Kluyveromyces lactis: one gene and its partner. The protein of the gene in region 1 interacts with the protein of each later gene in a biochemical or structural test. Links are inferred from orthologs where the notes say so. Each region holds a gene or a part of one and is shown in the gene's direction. Other genes may lie near its edges.

Region 1 (4,266 bases):
GCTCGCCTCAATATTAGGCGATGTTACCAATATTCTCTTGAATCCAGGAAGTGTAATGACACGCACGGCATCCGCACCGTAAATCTGTCGAGTATCCACCACACATTCTTGCACCTTATTTACGATCTCATCAAACAAGGGCTTGGAGCACACGTCCTTTGTCTTTGACGTTATTATTACAGTATCAGTAGCAAAATCATCATACGTTGCCATTCCAAAGAAGTGTATTCAGTGTGAGTGTAACCAAAGTTCGCCGCTATTTGTGCATGTCTAAGTAAACACTTAGTATATGTAAGTAGTAGATTACGTAGTTACTGAAGAAAGTGAATCGATCTTTACAGTGAAATATTGAAAAAAATATTGAAACAGAAAATCACTAATGCATGAGATGAGGTGTGTTCAGAATAACATTACGTGTAATTAAGTTACGCTTGATTCAGTTTGAGATTTATACGTTAGAATTAATTAAAGAGACAGAAGAATATACAGAATGCCTCTCACTAACGTTATATACTGTGGTGTGTGTGACTTTCCTGCTGAATACTGTGAATTTTCCGGTAAATTCAAACGTTGTAAAGCTTGGTTACAAGAAAACCACCCAGAATTGTACACCAAATGGTATGGCGATGTCACTGAAGATGTGTCTAAACAATTGGCAGAATCATCTATTGGTGATGAAAGAGAGGAGAAGCTTGAAAAGGCCCTAGAGAAACTAGAAAGAAAACAACAGGCTAGAGAGGAAAGAGAATTGGCTAAGAAATTATCGTCTAAAGTTGTGATCAGAAGAGAAGCAAGAACAAAACGGAAGTGTATGATTGCTATCTCTGGACTAGAAGTTTTCGAAATTGACATGAAGAAACTTTCCAAAACTTTTGCATCCAAATTTGCTACAGGTTGTTCTATCTCCAAAAATGCCGAGAAGAAAGAAGAAGTGATTGTTCAAGGTGATTTGGCAGATGAAGTAGAAGCATATATACATTCTTTACTAGAGGAAAAAGGTATGAAAGAAGTTAAGGTAGAAGTAATCGATGCCGCGAAGAAGAAGAAAAAAGCTGAAACTACAACTACACCAGGATCCGAAAATAAGAAATGATTATGAGAAGCACATTTAGCTGACACCCTTTTGTCATAACTTTATGTTAGCCTCTTAGGTAGAAAGATTTATATAATACCGCATTCATCGTTCAACAAACTGCACAATTAAACATCAGTAAGATGCTATATCTATACCCTCATATATAATAACTGTAGTAGCTATTAGGTTCCCATAAATATACTCCCATGGTGAGGAAGGGCAATACCTTACAAAAGAATATCCGGGTAAGATCACTTTTTCTTCACTTCCACTTCCATTATGCACCGTTAGATGGTGAGGAAACATGTCAAAATGTAAAATAAACTAAAAGCTATTTTCACCGAGCACAGAGAGTAAACAAGAGAAAGAGCCTTGAGTAATACACTGAGCACTCTTGTATTTGCTTACCAATTGGTTGAATCACGGAAGCATTCGGAAGTCAATTGTACTATGACCAGAGGATACATTGATGATTCGGTGAATCATGCTTTAGATTCTCGACTAATTGGTTCAAGCGTTTTTCAATCGTCAGATGCTTTGCTGGATCAATTATTATCTCTTCATTATAGAGCCCATTATCACATAAACATTTCTACAAAGACAAAATTCAGTGCACTGTCGGCCCTTTTATCTGAAGTGGAGAAGTTGCCCGTTCTAAAGGATGAATTACACTGTGCAATTGCGGACAATATCTATGGTATTGTTTTCTGTGAACTTGATGAAAAGGAAAAGGGGTTGCAGTACGTCTCTAAGAAGTTAGGCAGCGTTAATGGATACGATAGATTTGGAAGAATGCTAGATTTGGAAAGGCTATTTTATAAGGGAAATGTCGACTTAGCTGAGTTTTCCTCTGAAAGCTGGACTATTCCGAAATATTCTGATGGCTTAACTTGGCATTATTTGCAGGCAATAATAAAAGGGCTGGACCTCTCTCATTTTAAGCCAAAAACACCATTCCAATGGATGCTTTTGACCCTTAATGGTTCTGCAACTGACTCAAATCTTCTATCTTATAGCCATTCATTATTGAAGAAAAGTCGTTTCCCTAATGCTGATGAATCAAATAATTTTGAACTAGAACAATTCCACATGGTCCTACAAGAGCATCTCAAAATAAATAATTTAAATGTGAAGAAAGAATGGGAGCAATTTATCATTGATAGTATGGAAAAAAGTTTCCAAAGTATTTCGGTTGCAAAATCAGCAATGCTCTTTTATCGAAAGGTCGATCTAAAGAGGAGCATTCTAAACTTTACCAATTTGGTCAATTATTCAAACAAATATTACGAACTTAACAAAAGGTATCCTGACTTATTAGACTTAGTTTCATCGTACCAATTCATTCTGTCTACATGTAAAACGCCATTTGAACCGTTCTTCATGCCAGCAAACGTATCATCCGATTTCTTAAAGTTGCTAGAAAGAATTCACAACAAGTACAGTATCCCTATTATAGAAAAACAAAAGGCACTAGAAGGCAGCTCAGATGTATTGGACTTATGTCTAGCCTCATCAACAGCTTCTGTTCTATCCAGTTCATGGGAAACGTTATACGAAACTAGCGCTTCTTCTCTCCCAGCCTTGGTAGATCACAGTCAGATATTTTACCTATCGAATTCTTTGCAAACGTCTTTGAACGCTTCTGTGTCATTAAAGTTTAAGTTCGCTTATCATTTGGCTACATTAAGACAAATTGACCAATGCATCGCTTATCTAAAAAAACAAATATTAACACTTCATCCAGAACATTTCGCTAGTTGGCATCTTCTTGCGTTATGTGAATCCTGCATCAATGAAGATTTACAAGTAAGTTTCAAAATTATCAATTCTGTCATTCAATCAATGTGTGAACTTTTCGATGAAGGCAGGCAATTCACAATTGATGAAAAATGGCAGTTTATTCACATTAAATTAACTCAACTTCAACTAGTTAGAGACATGTTTGCACTTGAAGATGCACTTGAAATTTTGCCAGAGGTATTCGAACTTTATCAGCGTCTCTTTTCAGATGCTTCAGAACCCCTTGGTCCTCAAATCAATCAGAGTAACGACTATCTATTGCAGAAGATTTGGTTGTTTGCATTGGAATTATACCTGGAAAATGACGATATCGAAAATGTAAAGGCTGCGTTAGATGAGTTTAAGAACGTAACTTCAAAATATGTTAATTTGAACCACAACCTCGCACAAGGATTCGTGTTGTATACACATGGTCACTCTGAAAAAGCGACAGCGGAATTCGAAAAAGTTTTGCACTATGACTCTACATCTGTCGAGGCATTGATCGGTTTGGCAAAAATCGTGCTTCCTGATGAAGAGGCAAACCTGGATACGGATCTCAAGCATAACTCCAAAATAAACCAAAAGGAGCTACATAGAAATTCTGCCACGTCACTCGAAACTTCTTCTGCTGTAGCCAGACTTAAGTTCTTATTCGAAGAACTAGTCGATAAATCGATAGAAGGTTATCAAACATCTGCAGTGTGGTGGTATCTATCAAAAATATACGAAATATATTCTGATTCTACCAGACAACAGGAGGCGCTATGGCGATGCATCAAGTACGAAGAACTTCAACCCGTTCGCGAATTCAAGTTCTGTAATTTCTGATATTCTTTCAATTTACCTCATCCAAGTGTTCTGATATCCATAATATTTCCACTGTGGCAGCTGAAGTATAACATATTACATTCTAGTATATAGATTTATATTGTGACTATAGAATATACTGAGTTGAATTATGTATGACACGCTAAATTTTACCCAAGCTTGTCTAGTCACCTGACTTATCGAGAAGGCTAATTTCGTTTTCGATGTTGATATATCTACGGATGGACCGTGTCCAAGATCTCGGGAAAGAAGCAGAAATGATACCTGGGCATCCTTTAATGAATTGGAAAGCGCAATAGGTTACCCTTTATACAGGAAGGGCAAGTGGTTCGTCCAAGGGTAATAATGGTTTCTAAATCATCTGGATTTTTACCGAACTCTTCAGACTTGCGATTGAGAGAAAGAAAAGCACAATTCGATGGTACAGAGGTTTTAGAGGACTTCTTAAGAGATAATGAACCTGTAGAGGATAAGCTGGTGAAGCCATTGAAATCTTCAATATTTTCCAACAGAAACCACCGATTTCACACATATGTTTGCTTATTACTAACACTGGTATCTTTCGTGCTTCGGTTCTACAA
Region 2 (4,376 bases), on another chromosome or scaffold:
TGAGCGTGCCGCAGTTGCCAGGTTTGACATATGATCCTGTAAGGAAGAGATATTTCAAAGAACAAGCTGGTGATAGAAAGAACAAAAAGGAATCAAAGTTGCCAGATGGTCTTAACAGGTCAGTGGCACACAAAGAGTACGTGAAATGCGTAGATGCACTCATAGAAGGCCATCCACTACCGCGTCCCGAATGGTTCAGGTTTCAGAATAAAACACTTCAACTGGCGACTACGTACACTTTGCCCTCATTCATCTCTCAGCAGGGGCCCAGTGAAATCCAAATGGGACGAACTGGTCACTCCATTATACTGAACGATGCAAGTTTCCGTCTCTTTGAATTATCTATCGATGAGTCTGATGATTCCTTCAAAGTTTCATTTAATAGAGACTCATCCGCCCATGAAACGGTAACGTACTTCAAAACATGCGACCAATTTACCATCAGTATAAACCGCTTCAATGATTTCAATTTCAACACAGAGAAAATAATGGCAGGAGGAAAGTTGAAACTACCTGAAGTTATTGATGTGAACTCATTTGAAAATGAGACAGATACATATCTTCTGTTTCTATCATCCCGAGCGTACCAGTTGATTCAATATAACGGAACTCGATTGAAGACTTCAAAAGAGAATAAACTTCCGAAAAAATTCGGCGACGCAATGAGCTGTATCTTGCTTGGGCAGGATGTATTCCTCATTGGATTCAGAAATGGTTCAGTAATGATTTTTGATACTGGCAACAATAATGGAGGGGGCCCCAAGGCATATACATGGTTCAAATCGGATGGGCCTATAATTTCAATTACTCGAACAGCAAATGAGCCCGAATCAGATTTACTCTTGTCAATTGGGAAATATCCATTTCAGAAACTTATTTTGCTGAATCATAGAGGTAAAATATTGGCAGAATTTCAAAGCAGGTACTCCAACTTATCCAAGAACAAGGAAATACTCTCTATAATAAGAAATGAGGAATTGCATTGCGCCCTATACGGGAAGCGATTAGAAACAGAAGTCGATATGTTCTCTTTGAACACACCAAACTTGAAGTTTCCAGTGAATCTCAATTGGAATTGGGCGGGGTATGCAGAGATACTTGATATTTTACCATACAATCGTGAGGAAACCGTGCTTTTCCCTTTAGAAAAATGCTACATCAGAAAGCGATCCATCGCCAACGTCATTTTCCACAAATACAATACATATGGGCTGGATTCTACTAGGGTTTTAATTCTTATCAGAGACAACCATAACACTCTAGAAATCAAAGAGTACGTGTTTTAATCATCCCGATATATATATTTATCTACTTATGTATGGATGGGAATTAAGTGCTTATTCACGTGACAGATAATTTTATTTTCTGTCGCTGCAGAAACCTGTCGAGACTCAACACTCATGGAAAAAACCTTTAAATTCTAGCTTCAAGTAGCGAAACATACATTGAGAGGCTTCTATTGACACATTTTAGTAAGGCAACAGCAGCAGCAATAAGCCAGCATATATTCTAAGAAGATGAGAGGCTTGAAAAGGTGCGGAATCTCTTTGAGAGCACGTGCTTTGCAGAAGCTTTGTGAAGTCAATGGTTCAGAAGATCCACCTTTATCGAAACTCATAAATTCGTTGCCCATTGCTTATTCTTCCAATGTCTCGAAGCTATACTCAATTCCATTAACTTTAAAAGAACTTGAGATAATTTTTGCTATTTGTGATACTTCCCCACAAGATCTGGAAACTGTTGAATCCATTATCGATAATTTGATAACACCGTACTTTGTGGACTGTTCAAAACATAAATTTACTGATGTTGTAACAAGTAAATTCAAGAACAATGGGTTCAAGAACCCATTAGAAGTATTGTGCCATAAGATGACATTTTTCTTATTGAGAGCTAGTACCAAGTTTTCTAGTTTAACTGGTAAGGTGAACAGACTTTTCAGCGAGTATTTGAAAACTATACAATCCACACTATCGGTCAATGCTCTAGTGTCTTTCCTTGGCCATATGGAAGCAATGGCTGCCGGTATCCAAAAATCTGACAGAATCACTCAATTCCATTGGGAATTAGTGTTCCATTTGATCCAAATTTTGAACTCTGAGTTTTTGTTGAAGGCTGAAACGGTGTTGTCGCAATCGGTATCAAATGATATTTTAGTTGACTATTTCGATAATCATCGTGAAATTTGTGCTCTGAGATTTGTCCATTTGTTGGCTAAGGTCCAGGTGAATCTGCTAACTGTTGTGTTTGATGTGAAGAATCACGAAAACTTGTCCGAGTACCTATTGATAATCCAGGACCTTGAATACCAGGAAGAAACAGGTAACGAAGAGTATGTGAAATTCAAACAAATCACCGTGGAAAACTCTAGAGAGTTGAACAAAATTGCCTCTAACGCTGCTAAAATCATAACATTAGTTGACGATGGTGCTCCTTACATGAACTTGCAGACGTACAATACAGTTTCATTAGCATACAGGTGTAAAGTCAGCAACATGGAGATTCTCGCGTTCTCATTATTTATTGATGAACACGAAAGCGGTATGTTATCTACCAAATTGATCTCTATCTCCATTCAAGAAATTGAAACGTTACACGCCACCATTCGCTTAGAAAGTCCTGAAGTTTTGAAAGCAATTGTTAATGTCGCATCGTTGATGAATTTCTTTACCGATAGATTATCGGCTCGGTTGCTGAATGTCTTCCCCTTGATTGTGTCTTCTCAACAGATCAGCACGGAATTAGTAACACAATTGTCTGCTAACTTTGCTATTGGTTTGAAGCCATTGAGCGAAGATGCTATTGTAGGCACTATTTACTCGCTTAATAATTTGTTGGCGGTGACAAAGGATGGCTCCCCAGTTCCCCTATTGAAAGAGCGTAAGATGACAGTTTCCGATATGAATGAACTAGATAAGATGTTCCCAAGACAAAGAAAGGCTAATACTTTCACTTCGTTAAATGATATGAGAGTTTACCTTGGCGCTGAGAATGACAACAGCAGCACTGCTTCCTTAGTCCTCAGCAAAGTGGCCGAAGCAGAAGAAAAAACTTTGTTTGATACATCTAACACACATTATCATGATCAGTTATTCAAAAATGCAGTCATGGCATGTGTTACAGTGGCCAGGTACTACGGTGATCAAGCTATTTCTGCATTGGCAATAACAATCCTAACTCAAAAGTTTAGGGCCCTTTCCACTAAATCCGACAGATTGATCCTTGAAGGATTGGCTCACATTTTGCCATTTGTGGCGGATAATGAGTTCAGAATGCTATGCAAGTTTTACAACTCGGTTAGTTTACAATCCTTAAAGGAGGAAAACACAGACATACTAGATGCGGTGTTGTCTGCTAGAGTGATCATTAGCAAAGAGCTCAAGAATGGTACAAAAGGTGCTTCTTACATGTACTATTTGAGAAGCATTTTGGATATTATTGTCAGTAGGGGTGATGTTGAGAAATTAGAACACCACAGGTCACACCATGAAATTTCCAAGGTCGCCGAACAAATCGCCTTTTTCTTGAAACCATTGGCATTACTGTTACCAGTTCCTGGTGAAGATGTGTCTATCAGAGATATCTTGGGAAAAGATGCTGTAACAACTTCCGCTTTCCGTAATATTTGGTTCAACATGGTTATTCATGGGTTCCATATCAAATCTGATATGGCATTGAAGTTCAGAAGGGAACTAGAGATTATTGCATATAACTCCCCTCCTCTCGTATCGGATTTCCCTTCAAACAATAAGGAAACCACATTGGAAATGAATACTATTTTACGTCGTGGTTCATCTAATCATAACGTTAAGGCCCAAAAGTCTTCAATTCAACATATCCTTTCCTCGAATGTTATCGCAACAAGAACTATTTCAACCACGAAAATCATGTTCTTAGCTGCATCGTTTTTCCTTGAAAGCATTCGTTGCGATATTGGCGACTGTTCAACAATTTTGGAATATTTCTCAGATTCAACTATTGTTAATACTAATTTGGATAGATTCCTTGGACCAATCGCCATTAATTTGAATAATAAATATTTACAAACTGTTCCAACTGGCGATCTAAAGCTATTTTCCGCGAAAAAGAGTTCCGGTGAATTGAAGAAGATGTTCTTAATGCTGACACATAGAGACCTCTTTCTTCAAGACTGCGCTTTCCAATGCTGTGATATCTTTATCAAAAAGTTGCCTTCAAGCTTATGCCATCATGACTCACTTTATGCATTGTTGGATTCACTAAGCATGCTGTTTGATAGTGTATCTGATTTTGAGACAAGAAAGTACGATCCGAGATTCGAGTTTACCTTGAGAACTAGTGGTATCAAAGTGTTGTTAACGGATTCTGAAGAGTGGAGAAAATCCACTTTTGAAAGA

The links.
Region 2: the proteins of YPP1 (region 1) and STT4 form a complex in vitro, tested with the Saccharomyces cerevisiae proteins (2 studies listed by BioGRID). The link is inferred for Kluyveromyces lactis from reciprocal best matches to the Saccharomyces cerevisiae genes YPP1 and STT4.

Annotation. Positions count from the first base shown.
Region 1 is NC_006042.1:2,038,626-2,042,891, forward strand, and holds YPP1 (Ypp1p), read left to right. Parts: upstream 1-1,525; coding exon 1,526-3,685; downstream 3,686-4,266. Other genes in the region: TMA22 (Tma22p), read left to right, coding at 491-1,093; dolichyl-phosphate-mannose-protein mannosyltransferase PMT6, read left to right, coding at 4,031-4,266. UniProt on the Saccharomyces cerevisiae protein: Involved in endocytosis.
Region 2 is NC_006039.1:1,510,930-1,515,305, forward strand, and holds the start of STT4 (1-phosphatidylinositol 4-kinase STT4), read left to right. Parts: upstream 1-1,517; coding exon 1,518-4,376. Other genes in the region: KLLA0_C17270g (uncharacterized protein), read left to right, coding at 1-1,286. UniProt on the Saccharomyces cerevisiae protein: Acts on phosphatidylinositol (PI) in the first committed step in the production of the second messenger inositol 1,4,5,-trisphosphate. STT4 functions in PKC1 protein kinase pathway.